Linked DNA regions of Anolis sagrei. The protein of the gene in region 1 interacts with the protein of each later gene in a pairwise test. Links are inferred from orthologs where the notes say so. Each region holds a gene or a part of one and is shown in the gene's direction. Other genes may lie near its edges.

Region 1 (7,983 bases):
TGAGCTTACTTCGTCTCATTATATAAAAGGACACTTATTTCTAGCTTCCTTCCCCTATACAGTGTTCCTTTTTGGCCTTCTTAATTCTCTATCCTTTCCTGCTTTCCTTCATTCTGTGTGAACCTTCTCTCTTTTTGTTCCTCTGCCTATTTATCTCCTTTCCTTCTTTTCTGCCCCTCACTCTCACTCCCTGACCCCCTGTCTCTTTCACTTCATCTTTCAGCTATCTTGTAACAGAAGCTTTAAAAGCTGCCAATGGCAGGTGAGAAATAGTGTCAGATTAAAAGAGTCTTTTTTCAAACTGCTTTAGGAAGTCTGTTAACAGTAAGTAATTAAAAAGATCTCATTCCCCTCTTTGTAATTAGTGCCCATGTATTGTATTTCTAGCCATAACAAGTAATTCACTTCAGTAAGATGGTGAAACAGCAATGACGTCCTCATCAAGAATGCTCTTCTGCTGTAAATACTAATGGGAAAATCAAAATTAGAAGAGAGAGTAAATTCTCATGCCCTCCCCCCCCCCCCCCCCGACATTGATGTAGCCCCCTAAAAGGTCAAACATATTATATTGCATTTGCATTGTAAGAGAAACTTGGAAGTTACAGATTGGCATTCCTTTTCCCGGTAAAGCTTGATTATCTAAATCTCATTTGGCTGAAATCTATGAAAGTTTATGCCATGAATCACATTTATTAGTCTTTTTGGTACTACAGAACTCAGCATAATAGATTAACCTTGCTAGCTCCCTGGAAATATTTCCTCTGTGAATCACCTAAGCTTTGATTCAGTCTGAATGCAGACTAAAGGCAGCAGCCAAAATATCAGGAGTAGCTCATTAGGAGATAGCATGAAAGAACTACATTTTTTTAAATAACATGTCCCATCAGGTAGAAATTATTTTCCTGATTTCCAGGTATTACCTGCAAAGGAAAAAGAGCAGCAGCCAAAAGAACAGGAGTGGCTAACTAATAGTGGATAATCTGAGGAAGATACCTCAAACATCAGCAGAAATATTTCCAGAGGGGTGTTCCATGATGTTTTAAACTTGTTTTTCCAGTGAGAGAGTGTGTCGGTGATGATAAAATTGTGTTCTGCACATTTAGTGAGAAGTAAAGTGTCATTTGGGTTACTGCTCCAACCCTGGCTTTCCATATAGTTCCTGGCCACAGGCCGAAATCTCGCCCAACTCTTGTGTATAAATCACCCAGGAGGATGATTTTCTTCTCCTTAGGTATGTCTCATAGGATGATATCCCGCCGACAGCGGAATTGTTCTTTGATGTCTTTGCTGGCATCTGGTTTTGGTGGATAGACATATATGATAGTTGCCTGCTGGTTTTTGGCAAGACTGATTTGGAGATATTGCAATGGAGACTCAAACTGTACTCAGAATCATAGTGCCACTGGTCATGGCTGTAATATATCGATTGTGACCTTTGTTAGCCTTATTCTCCATGAATATCTCTAATCCTCTTTTAAAGTGCTCTATATTGTTGGATTTCCCTATGTCTTCTGGTCTATATCTTTATATGAGTGATGCAACCTCAATTGATGGGCGTGAAGCTAGTAATGTAGTGCACTGGTGGGTGGGTTGGTGGTTTCTCAAAGGATGTTGAATAACAATCTGACAGGCCAGTTCTAGAAAGATTGCTGCCAGTTGAAGTATAAACTGTATTAGTTGTTAATATTCGTATGGAAAATGGGTTATTTTCTTCTCCTTAGGTATGTCTCATAGGATGATATCCCGCTGACAGCAGAATTGTTCTTTGATGTCTTTGCTGGCATCTGGTTTTGGTGCATAGACATATATGATAGTTGCCTGCTGGTTTTTGGCAAGACTGATTTGGAGATACTGCAATGGAGACTCAAACTGTACTCAGAATCATATGTGCTATGTAATAGATAATTCTTGCTTAATATTCATGAGGATAATATTCTATTGTACGATTTGTTTTATCGTTCTTTAGTTGTATAGAGGAATATATTTGATTATAATATTCGTGAGGAAAATAAGTTTATGAATTCTTATTTATATGTTTTATGTATTTTAGGGTATTTTACTTGTTTAATATTTGTGGGGGAAATAGTTGAATGAATGATATACATATGTATATTATGAATATAATCGGGGTTTTTAAAAAAGCTTTTATCTGTCCTGAATTTCTCCCACTTCAACTTCACTGTTATCTCTGGTCCTAATCTTTTGTGGTGGTTGTTTTATAATTTCTATGTGATATTGCTTTATAGTTTTATTTCTCGTGTCAGGGCAGCCAGTCAATTATATTACATTTCTAACAGAACAAAGCAAACAAATAGAGAAAATACAAAATGTGTGAGTTTGGTAGTTGATTAAATGTCCTTTGACCAGTATCTGGCCACTTGGAGTGCTTCTGGTGTTGTTGCAAGGAGGTCCTCCATTGTGCATGTGGCAGGGCTCAGGTTGCATTGCAGCAGGTGGTCTGTGGTTTGCTCCTCTCCGCACTCGCATGTCGAGGATTCCACTTTGTAGCCCCATTTCTGAAGGTTGGCTCTGCATCTCCTGGTGCCAGAGCGCAGTCTGTTCAGCGCCTTCCAAGTCGCCCAGTCCTCTGTGTACCCAGGGGGGAATCTCTCATTTGGTATCAGCCGTTGGTTGAGGTTCTAGGTTTGAGCCTGCCACTTTTGGACTCTCGCTTGCTGAGGCGTTCCAGCGAGTGTCTTATAGTCATATACCATTTATGTTATATGCTGCACCTTGGAGTACCTTTGTAAGCCACTCCGAGTCCCCTTGGGGAAACTGTGGCAGGTTATAAAGAAAGATTATTATTATTATTAATAATAATAATATCTTAAACTGAGTTCAGAAGCAAATAGACAGCCAGTGCAATGAAGGTGATATATTTTATAGTCTTCACATGACAATGAATTGTGAACTTCCATCATCATCATCATCATCATCATCATCATCATCATCATCATTCAAAAATACTTCTAACTTGGGACTAGGCAATTTAAAGGAAGGGTAAAACAAACTAAAACCATAAAAACAATTAAATAAGGTACCATATCAAAACATCACTAACTTTAAAAAGTATAGAATCATTTTAAATGATATAAAAATTAAGAAAACAATGCAGAAAGATACAGCAAATGGAGTTATCACAATTAGATCCTGAAGTGGGTTTTTGTTGTTGTTGTTTTCACCAGATCTGTATCTTTCACCTGGACAAATTAATTTTTAAAAATACAATTATGCAATTAAAAATAATGATAATAATAAAGAATACACATATACCCCCCAAAGGCTTTTTTTTTTACAATCTATGAAATGGTTACTGCAATCATTGGTTTCCCCTTTCTTGAAAATTGTAAATCATTTTGATTATTTCCAGTATGTGGGCTCTGTTGATATGCTACCTGTTCCTGATGATTTATTTCTCCCAAGTACTCTTACTGCAGCTTCCACTTAATTTTCTAATCATTTTTTCTTGAATGAACCTGCTATCCTTTCATCTCTTTTATATAGTTCTTCAGTGTATTGTTTCCATTTTCTTTTTAGGTATACTTGGTCATGTAAAGTGTCATATAGCATCCCCACTCTTGGTTTAAACATAGTCATCCATGAATGGATTTTTAAAAAAATACTTCAATGGGAAAAAGGCACAAGTAAAATTATGCAAAATAAACGTATATTTTTAATAATTACAGTATATTTTTAATAATTACAGTGGACCCCCAGTGGCACAGTGGGTTAAACCCCTGTGCCGGCAGGACTGAAGACCAACAGGTCACAGGTTTGAATCCGGGGAGAGCGTAGATGAGCTCCCTCTGTCAGCTCCATCTCCTCATATGGGGACATGAGAGAAGCCTCCCATAAGGATGGTAACACATCAAAACATCCGGGCGTCCCCTGGGCAACGTCCTTGCAGATGGCCAATTCTCTCACACCAGAAGCAACTTGCAGTTTCTCAAGTCACTCCTGACACGACCAAAAATAATAATAATTACAGGGCACACAATCCAGTAGATACTTAATGTAAATGCAGATTGTTATATTTGAGTTTTTAATCATGTGGAAGTTTTATCAAGGATGATAAAACATCCAGGAGTCCCCTGGGCAACGTCCTTGCAGACAGCCAATTCTCTCACACCAGACTTGCAGCCTCTTCAGTCGCTCCTGACACACACACACACACGCACACAAAGCTTGCCTGATGATGAGAAGTGGTCCCTTAAACATGAGACAATCCAACATTTATTTCAAATTAAACATTATTAAAAATTTAATATAACAATCCGGCATATACATTAAGTATCCACTGGATTATGTGCACTGTAATTACTAAAAATATACATTTATTTCGCAAAGTTTAATTGTACCTTTTTTCCACTGATGTATTTAAAAAAATCATTCATTGATAGCCATATATTCAATGATAGCCTTATAGTTTTGGGACTGCTCTCCTGGTAACCAATATTTTAGACCCAGTGCACCACTGCTCCCATCAGGCCGGTAGCCAGGATTTTGATTCGGGGGGGGGGGGGGGGGGGCTGAGTCTGAGTGAAAGAGGGTCTAGCCTAGCAAACCTTTTGTTTCGTTACCCCAATACCTCCATGCATATGGGATATATTGAGCATGGTGATCAGATCATGATATGAATAAACATAACAGTTTAAATAATGCACCAGTAAGGCCTTCTCACGGACCACCATGAGAATTTCGGGGGGGGGGGGCTGAAGCCTGGCTCCCATGTGTGTATTTGTCTGTGTACCAGCATCTACAACAGGCATGGGCAAATTTAGGCCCTCCTGGTGTTTTGGACTTCAATTCCCACAATTCCTCACAGCCTTGAGCCCTTTCTTGGACCACCGGGGACTCCTATCACAGGGAAGGTGACACCTGGCCAGCCCGCCCTGCAAGGAACCCAACCTCTTGCCTTGCCTCCCCTTTCCTTGCCTTCCTCCCTGCGCTGCGCCCTCTGGCGGTGACTCCGAGCTCTGCGCGCCCGACCTGAGCCGAGAAAGGAAGGAAGGAAGGAAGGGAAGGAAGGCAGGCGCGCAGGCTGGCCAAGGCGAAGAGCTCAGAGGCAGTCGCTCTCGCTCTCCCCCATTCATTGCCATGGAGCGCAAGGTGGCCAGGGAGTTCAGGCACAAGGTAAGAAAGAAGAGGGCCGCCCTCGCCTTTCCCCGCTTGCTTGCTTCTTGCCTGCCAAGGGACCCCCGCGGCTTTGGCTCCTCAGCTTGGAGTCACTTTCTCTAGCTCTGGGTCGGCTGCGCGGGGGACATTTTGCGGGACTCTGGACTCTGGGTATCAATTAACTCGGCCTTTGCGGGGGGGAGGGGGAGGGGGGAGGGGGGAGGGGGCAGGGAAGGAAGCGCTTCTCCCCGGCAGGTCAGGCGGCGAGGCGCACCTCCGAGGGAGGCATTGGCCTCACTCTTGCCACCCACCCATCCACCCATCTTTTCTTTTCTTTTTTCCCCCGGGCAGGTGGGAATTCGGGTCCACTTTCTCTTAAAGGGCACCTGGATTCCACCTGAGCGCCAAGCAGAGAAAAGGAAGAAGCAAACTTCAAAGTTTTGGAACTTTTGGGAAAGTTTGCTCCCTCAAAAATAATGTTCCCTGTGAGCAATTGTATACAAAAAAGAAAATTTAATAACAATAACAACAATAATAATGAGGATTTAAAGATTGAACTGCAAAGACTCTGGCACAAACCGATAAAGGTGGTCCCAGTGGTGATCGGCACACTAGGTGCAGTGCCTAAAGACCTCGGCCTGCACTTAAACACAATTGACACTGGCAAAATTACCATCTGCTACCCTACTGGGATCTGCACACATTATTCGCCGATACATCACACAGTCCTAGACACTTGGGAAGTGTCTGACATGTGATCCAATACAGCAGCCCACAGAATGATTTTGTTTGCTGTGGACTCATCTTGTGTTTCAAATAATAATAATAATTCATTTATAGCCCGCTTTCTCTCCCCCAGGGGACTCAAAAACCAAAATAAACACTATCCCTCCTTTCCTCTTTCTCTCTCTCTCTCTGTCAGGGACCAAGGGACGTTGCAAAGAAGCTTCTATTATATAATAGTTCTTTTGTTTTTGTTTTTAAAAGAAGTGAATCTAAGAGTTGCAAGTCAACAGGGTGAGATGAGGAAGTTTGGACTCAAGGGTATGATACAGGCATATTCTTGCAACATGGTTTGAACCTATTTCTTTTTATCAGTGCCGCAAAGTCAAATGGAAACTGTCTTTCAGAGGTTCAGTCAGTGGTGCATTAATAATGGGTTTCATTTACAAAAAGCTCCCTTTTCGGTTTCACATCAGAGATAAAAGTTGTTGAGTGTGGAAGGCTGTTCCAGCTTGTTTGAATATGCAAAACCGATCAACATTTGTCTGCACACCTCCTACAGGTTTTCCAGGCTTGTATACCTTATAAAAAATGATCTAATACCTGTTGTTGTTGTTGTTGTTGTTGTTGTTGTGTAACAGGTCCTTCCTGGATTATGGTGCCCCCAAGACTAACCTATGGGAGGGGGGGGTTCCTTTGAAATATTTGTTCAGAGAGGGCTTGTTTTTGCCTGCCTCTGAGGCTGAGAGAGAGTGACTTCCTCAAAGTCACCCAATGTGGTCACCCAGATGTTTTAACATCCTGTGGGAGGCTTCTCTCATGTTCCCGCATGAGAAGCTGGAGCTCACAGACAGGAGCTCAACCCACTCCCTGGATTCGAACCGCTGACCTTTAGGTCAGCAGTCCTGCCAGCTGGAGGTGTAACCCATTACGCCTCCGGGGGCTCGATTTGCTCCTGACATTAAAAAAACCCAGTGTGGTTTCCATAGGTGACTCAGAATTTGAACTCTGATCTCCAGGGTTGTAGTCCAATGCTCAAACCATTCCACCATGCTGAGTCTTCAGATATTTGTGCCTCATTCTTCATATAATGTATGAAGACCATCCATATAACCCCATTGTTGCTGTTATACAATGTTTATTTGATCATTTACAAAAATTAATCAACAGAATTTTATCCTGAAGGTGTGTTTAGATTACTTTGGTTTTGGTAAACTGGATTTTGGTGTCTCCTCTTCTTTGGAATCTTGATCTTTATTTCCCCCATTTAATTGCGTTCAGTGGAGTTCCATTCTGGTTTTTAGATTGGACCTCTCTAACACAACAGATAAAAGTTACACTAATCTTTAAGTCTTCTATAACTTAGACTGAAACTTATCAAATATTAAAGACAAATTTCTGAAAATTCCTTGAAAGGGAAAAGCTGTTGTAAAAATAGATATTAAGACTATTAAGCTAGTTTTCACCAATTTTAAAACTAATATTGCTATGAATGCAATTTTTCTGCTTCTTGGCAGCAGGTTGGACTGGATGGCCAACGAGGTCTCTTCCAATGCTATGATTCTAATAAAAACTGGGCATAGTTGTATGATTATAACATTTATACCTGTTAACTATCAACATTGGGATGGGCAACAGCAGACAGACAGCTGGCATATGTATCTAACGTAATATTTATGGTCTTGTACCTTGTACCTGTGGCCTTTTATGCTGATAAGATTCACATAGACTTCTATTCTCCCCACAGTCCCAATAAATGGAAAAAGCTGGCTCTTCAAAGGGAAAAAAAACTATTCAAAATCTTGCTTTATTGGCTTCTTGATGCTAGGAAGCTACTAGGACTAAATTAATATTAAACAGCACTGAAGATAAGCCATTTTGTATCTCACTTTAAGAGAAAGTTGGGGTACAATTTTTATAAACAAATAAATAAAAGCTGTAGCATCAGTAAAGTAACACATTAAATAGTGATTGAATCTGCATGATTAGTCCTCTGTTTTCATTAAAATCTCAAAGTGAAAAAACTCAAGACAACTCAAACTGAGTTGTATCACCTGCAAATACATTTCTAAGTAATTAGACAGCCTGGTATCTCAGACAAAACAGAATTAAAACTAGGTCATTTGTTGCCCAAAGTAACTAGAA
Region 2 (6,968 bases), on another chromosome or scaffold:
CTGTTGATAACAAGGTGGAATGGAGTTGAAGTCAACTTGATGGCAATTAACAATAACAACCACCACAACAACTGCTACCTCAAATGTAGTTGAAGACACTAATCCATCACTGGTGCTGAATTAAAATTCAACTGACTGTCCAGACAACTTTTGGATATGCAGGAGAAGAAACACAGCATTTTGTCCTTTGACTCAGACTGAAAACTGTCTTGGGTTGTTCCTGTCCTTATGATACCACCTGGAAGATCATCTACCTACCCATCCTATCAGCTGCAAGACCTGTGGGGTCAATGTAAGGGTTGCAGTCAGGTTTTGATGCAAAATTGTGAAGGAAAGACAGTTTTGCTCCACGGAAAGGCAGTGATACATAATGGCTGGAGTACCAGGCTAAGGTAGGGAGATCCAGTTTGAAAATGGAGGTTGATGATAGGAGGAACCATTGAAGAAAAGGCAGGATATATTTGAAATGAAATGAAATACACTTCAGTTTAATCCATAAGCACTTAATTGCAAAGGGTTTGCCTCTGGGAGATGGGAAAATGTTAAATGTGTGGAGCGAGAGGAGGAATTCAAAGACATTGCTGTGTCAGTCTGGAATATCACTATGCAAGAGCATTTTGTAGCACCTTGTAAACTCACTGAAGAGACTAAAGTGGCAACATAAGCTTTTGTAGTCCAGGTCTACTTTAGCCTATCTTGCTCCTGTCCATTTAGCATTAGCTTGATAGGCTGATCTCAGCAACTGAAGCTTTTTTACTGTAATGCAGATCATTTCCACCAGCTACTGACTGTGGAGCAAGCCTGCAAAGCCACAGCTGCAGAGGCAAATTTAAAAGGCAAATTCCATTTTTTTTGCCTTCAAGGGAATGTTGATTATAATTTTGAAGAAGTTTAAATGTCATGGTTGACAGGGACATTGTGTTCCTCTTAGGAAGGAAGTGCCCATAAAGAGCACTGGAAATAGATCATTAAAACAGCAGAGATAAAAATCAAGTTCCTCTATTTGTCTGATTTCTTCTTTTCTCGTTTTCTTTTTTTAATGCTGCCATTTCTCATAGTGGTCATGATGCCTAAAGTCCTCAGTTTTCAAGGAAGCCTTTCCAACTATTCAAGCCTTTCCAACTTTGTCATTTGTAAGATTTCCCTCAGGGAGATAGGGTGAGATAAAAAGTAAAGTTTTGTATTATAGATTTATTATATTATCAGCAAAATATCAAGCAACCAACTCAAGGATGATTGGTAGTCAATAGCATTCCAGTGAAAGGTCCATGAAATTTAAGTGATGGGTGGAGAAGTTTCATTTCCTTTACTATTGTATGACCTCTAGCTATTTTTGACTTATGGCAACCCTAACACAGTATTTTCTGGGCAAAATTTATTCAGGGGGTTCCTTTTGCATTCCTTTAAGGTTGAGAGAGTATGATACGCCTAGGATCAAACCTGGGTCTTCAATGTGCAAACCCTTATATTAGCTCTCTCCAATTAAACAAAGTGAGGAGTGAGTGATTTGTATATGTGTAGTAGGAATAACAGAGTGAGGTCTGTGCATCAAATAGAAAATATGTCTATGTCAGAGTTGGCTTGCCATAAGAAATTCTGAGCTCCAATGGTTTCTAGAAATCTGATGGAGACCTGGAATCTGAAGGTACAATCTCTAGTATACATGTAAACCAATTTTATGTCACAAAAGACATCACACGTCTCCTGCGAAATCCTCCCACGGAACTAGAAACCTGGGTGAGCACTGAAATAACTGAAAACTTATCCTTATCGGAAGTGGGGCCCATTCCCACAATACTATGGTTAACTTGGATAGGAAGCAAATACACTGGACCCTTGGTATCTGATGGAGTTTGATTCCATGACCACCCTACCCAAATCAGTGGATGCTTAAGAACCACTATAAAGGCGGTCCCTGAGTTAGAAACATCTGACTGACAAATGACTCATAGTTAAGAACCGGGTTGAGGAAACAGAAAGTGAGAAATCTACTCATCAAGAGGGAAATCCACTACTGAAAGAGTTATATTGGGGAAAAGGAGTTTCAGCTGCAGCTTTTTCACCAACCCTTGTTTTCACAACAAGCCAAATTTTTCAAAACCCAATTCTCACAGAGACAGAAAGTGAGGTGAAATCTTCTGAACAGGGACACTGATAAGCAAAACAAGCCCCACAGGAGTGTTAACATTTCTCTATCCCTATGCTATGTTATGTATGTATGTATGTGTGCTTGTCTATGTGTTTGTATGTGTTGTTATATATAGTAAAGGTAAAGGTTTTCCCCTGACATTAAGTCTAGTAGAGTCCGACTCTGGGGGTTGGTGTTCATCTCCATTTCTAAGCTAAAAAGCCGAAGTTGTCTAGTGACACCTCCAAGGTCATGTGGATGCCATGACTACATGGAGCACCTTTACCTTCCTGCTGGAGGTACTCACATTGATCTACTCACATTTGCATGTTTTCGAACTGCTGGGTTGGCAAAAGCTGGGGCTAACACTGGGAGCTCATGCTGCTCCCAGGATTCGAAACTGTGACCTTTCGATCAGCAAGTTCAGCAGCTCGGCAGTTTAACCCACCCCACCACTGGGGGCTCCTATGTATATATGGCTGGAGTTACACTTAAAAAACGTTTCTGTTCACATACAAATTCAACTGAAGAACAAATCTACAGAACCTATCTTATTCGTAACTTGGGGATTGCCTGTATAGAATAGCATAGGAAAATGCTGTCCCTTATATAAAATTGCAAAAATCAAGTTTTCCTTTGTTTTTTGGAATATTTTCAAGTATTCCCTTCGCGCAAATATTTCTAGAAATGTGAGTGTCAGAGTCTGAACACTAGGTGGCGCCAGAGACTCAGGTATTTTCAAGAAACCAGAAAAGAGGGAGTTGTTGGTCAGCTGCTCTGCTACTGTTAGAGATCCAGTTCAGACATTAGTCCAAACATTCATGTTTTAGGGATCAACCGAAGACTTTTGAATATGTGTGTGTAAAGTGTGAAGACAGCAAGTAGTTGTTTGAAATCAGAGGCCTAATACAAATACTCCTGACAATGTGGCATTCAGTGAAGCCAGGAACACATAGCAGTCCCAAAGGTAACATGTGAAACAGGCCAAAGAGCCATTTTGCATGCCATTTTTAAAAAAATGTGTGTGCCCTTAGATAACGGACCCCTCTACCTCCATATTCAATCTACAGGAATATGTTTTGTTTTCATCAAGCATTCACTGGGAATCAAATTCTTGGAGGGTTCCCCAAACAATACAAATTTCCAAATACAGCACACGCATAAATTAGATATATCAAATCAAATCAAATCATTTATTTTGGTCATTGACCAGCACAGAAAATTAGATATACATTAACGGCTCTTTAAATATTAAGCTCCTACCTAATATTTTGTACCCAGAGACAGTACACATGGGAGCCTACATTTTATGATGCCTATGCAAAGAATGCTGTCCACGTGCTTGTGTCTGTAAATTTCAGTGTCCACACGCATGTGCTCAGTAGTCCAATATTCACTGAGGAGCAATGCAAATCTTATTCCTTAGCTCAGATTTTGCCCTGAAATTCAAGGGCCTGAGACAGCCTTTACGTGGAAACTCTATATAAAAATACTGGATGAAGGTCAGAGTTTCAAAAGAAAATTTGGGAAGTCAAAAATCTTCAAAATGCTGATGTTCAAGATTTGAAGGAGACCAAGTACAAGAAAAAAAATACTTAAAAGAAACCCCGAGTTAGCTTTAGACATCTTCTAACAGCATGAAAAGATAATATGGTCTATTGTCCACTTTTAGGAAGTGCAGGCAAAAAAAAAAAAAAAAACCCAACTAATTTTACTTGGGTTTGCTGAGGAGAAGTAAACAAATACCAGGGTGAAGAGAGGAATCCTTAGGACCCAGGGGAAGCCACAGAAAATAACCTCATGCATTCAATATGAGGAGTTCCTTCCCTCACTGGCCAGGGACTCTCAGGTGTCCTAGTAACACATCTCCCTCTTTCCTCTTCCGGCAGCTGCTTCTTTGGAAGTCGTTCATCCAACTCAATGCCCCTTCTTTTACGACTGTCCCCACTTTCCTTCCCAATGCTATGGCTAGGGAATAAGGCTGCCTCATCATGAATGACCACTACCACCGAGCAGCCAGGGATGGCTACCTTGATCTGCTAAAAGAGGCCACCAAGAAGGACCTCAACTCCCCCGACGAGGATGGCATGACCCCAACCCTATGGGCTGCCTATCATGGCAACTTGGATGCCTTGCGGTTGATAGTTAGCAGGGGGTAAGTCCTGAGCTTTGTCTGGTTTGTTTTGCTTTGTTTTGGGATTCTGTGGAAACCCCATTTCATGGACAAGTCCCATACAAATAGAAAGGGACAGGTGAACCCATTTCGTGACTTGAGAGGAATCATTGGGTTTCTTCCTGCATGGCTCTATGTAACTTTGAACTTTACGAAGAAGATTGTCATGTTTTAAAGGTCCTGTTAAAATAGGAAAGCTCTGCCTGGATGCAAAGTTTGGGAAGGTCTCATTCAGTGAACAAGAAAACAGTGTTATTCACTCACAGGACTTTTAATGGTCCAGTATGGGAGTGATCTTGAGACACCTGGATATGATTGGCAAAACATATAACAGTTGTTATAAGCTGGGACAGAAAAGATGCTTCCTATCAATCTGTTAACGTTTTTAGGTCTGGCAACCTGAGTTCCAATCTTCTTTGGTTAAGATAGTTGGTAGTCCTCTATTCTTATGTAGATCTGCAGCAAATTGAAACTACTCTAAAAGATGAATTGCTTCCAACAGGGACACTTCTTTTCTCCCACTGTTTCTTTGTATGGGGCAGGGGGAATAAGTTTTGATTTTCGAAGTGGTGCAGCATCCTTTGTGTTCTCTCCTTGGACTTCATCACAATAGAATGAATCCACTTTAAATCCAGTTTTTGCCTCCCATATAATTCTGGGGTTTGTAGGTCAGTGAGTTTAGGCTCCTCCTTCTGTAAGAGGCAGAAATTGGATTTAGGACCCTTCCACACAGCTCTATATTCTAGAATATCAAGGTAGAAAATCCTACAAGATCTGCTCTGAACTGGGTTATCTGAGGCCACCTTGCCATATATCCCAGTTCAAAGCAGAAAATGTGGGATTTTTCTGCCTTGATATTCTGAGATATAGGGCTGTGGAGAAGGGCCCTTAAAGTGGATTTGTTCTCTAGTGTGATGAAGTAGCTTGTAAGATCCATCGTTGAAAAGGCTAGACCAGGCCTGTCAAATTGGTGTACTAAAAATGCAGTTTAGTGTATACTGTTATTTTGTCTGTTACAATCACTGGTGCTGTAAATTATAGAAGAAGAGGAGACACGAGAGGGAGGAGAGGTAATGAGATAACTGCATTCCTTTCCCTGATTATGCGGCCTTGGGCACTCAATCTCTGTCCCCCAAAGGCCAAATTTTACAACATACACAGAGAGAAATAGAGGGAGATGAAGAGAGAGTGATTGAATGAGTATAGGAAGTGTCTTGGTTGTTTATTGCAGAAGTATATTTTGAGATTGACTCTGATCTATTTGTGAGGAATTTCTTTCTTCATGATTCATATCTTCTTCTACTATGAACAAATAACTGGACATTTTCGTTTAGCTACTGTCACGGAAATGCTTTAAGATAGGGAATCTGACAGGCTACTTGAAGGCATGCATGCACACATACATGCACGTGCAAACACACAATTATTCCCATTTTACAGATCAAAATAATTAATCAAAATTATTGTTTTATGTGTTTTTGGTTTTATTATGTTTATTTTATGTGTTGTTTTAGACACATTGTGCCATATGTAAGCCGGCCCAAGTCCCTTCAGGGAGATGGAGGCAGGGTACAAAAATAAAGTTGTTGTTGTTGTTAAATGCAGGATTGCTGGAGGCCACCCACTTAGGGTCCTTCCACACAGCCATATATCCTAGAATATCAAGGTAGAAAATCCCACAATATCTGCCTTTAACTGGGTTATCTGAGTCCACATTCAGAGAATGTGGAATTTTCTGCTTTGATATTCTGGGATATAGGGCTGTGTGGAAGGGTTCCTTAGTCTACAAAGTGTAGCCTGTGGTTTGCCCAAACTTCTCTGGGCCCTTCCACATAGCATTATAACCCAGAATATCAAGGCAGAATAACCCACAATATCTGCTTTGTACTTGAATATCTGAGACCACGTTGCCATATATCCCAGTTCAAAGCAGATAATGTGGGATTTTATTCAGTTGTGTAGAAGGGGCCTCTGATGAAATCCCGGAGCTCCCTTTATTTCTAAAGCGCACAGCAAGCAGTATAGGAATGTAGGGGAAACTTTTGGCCCAAGACAGGCTTTTCCCAGTTTCACAAGTGAAGCCAACGTACAAGGAAAGAACAAATCATGTAAAGAAATGGCTGGCCTTAAATGGGAGCTTTTTGGTATCGGCACAATCAATGGCACATACAGTTTTATAATCACATCTTTTTCTTGTTACTTTCCCCAAGATGGCAACTCTCATATTATCATCAGTGCAAAACTGAATTGTTTTGTATTTCTGACTTGATGTCCTCAGCCGCATATCCTTCTGAGCAAATCTTCATCAACACAGAGGAATGGACTCTCAATGTAACCATACAGCATTGGATCAGAGCTTGAAAAACATCATTTTTGAACTGGTTGGAGCTGGGTAGCTGGGTCTGAGAGATATGCCAAAAAGTACCTTTTAAGCTCTGCACAGGATTGAGATAGTTGTCACAGTTCTCTCAACATGCCACAACCGACGCAGGCAAAATGTACTAGCTATTCCTTTCTTTGTTTCTGTATAAGTCCTATCTAGTAGCAGCATCCCTTTGATTATAAACCTTTGCCAAAGGACCAGAAATGTTGGCTTCAGCAACTACTACTTCTTCTCCATCTCTTGGAAGCGCTGGGGAAACTCAGAAGTCCAAATGGTTCTGCTGT

Evidence for each region.
Region 2: the proteins of USH1C (region 1) and USH1G interact in binary tests that used the Homo sapiens proteins (3 or more experiments, as listed by UniProt). The link is inferred for Anolis sagrei from reciprocal best matches to the Homo sapiens genes USH1C and USH1G.

What each region holds. Positions count from the first base shown.
Region 1 is NC_090021.1:247,950,033-247,958,015, forward strand, and holds the start of USH1C (harmonin), read left to right. Parts: upstream 1-4,959; 5' UTR 4,960-5,097; coding exon 5,098-5,133; intron 5,134-7,983. UniProt on the Homo sapiens protein: Anchoring/scaffolding protein that is a part of the functional network formed by USH1C, USH1G, CDH23 and MYO7A that mediates mechanotransduction in cochlear hair cells. Required for normal development and maintenance of cochlear hair cell bundles.
Region 2 is NC_090022.1:116,863,379-116,870,346, reverse strand, and holds the start of USH1G (pre-mRNA splicing regulator USH1G), read left to right. Parts: upstream 1-3,955; 5' UTR 3,956-4,119; coding exon 4,120-4,283; intron 4,284-6,968. UniProt on the Homo sapiens protein: Plays a role in pre-mRNA splicing by regulating the release and transfer of U4/U6.U5 tri-small nuclear ribonucleoprotein (tri-snRNP) complexes from their assembly site in Cajal bodies to nuclear speckles, thereby contributing to the assembly of the pre-catalytic spliceosome on target pre-mRNAs.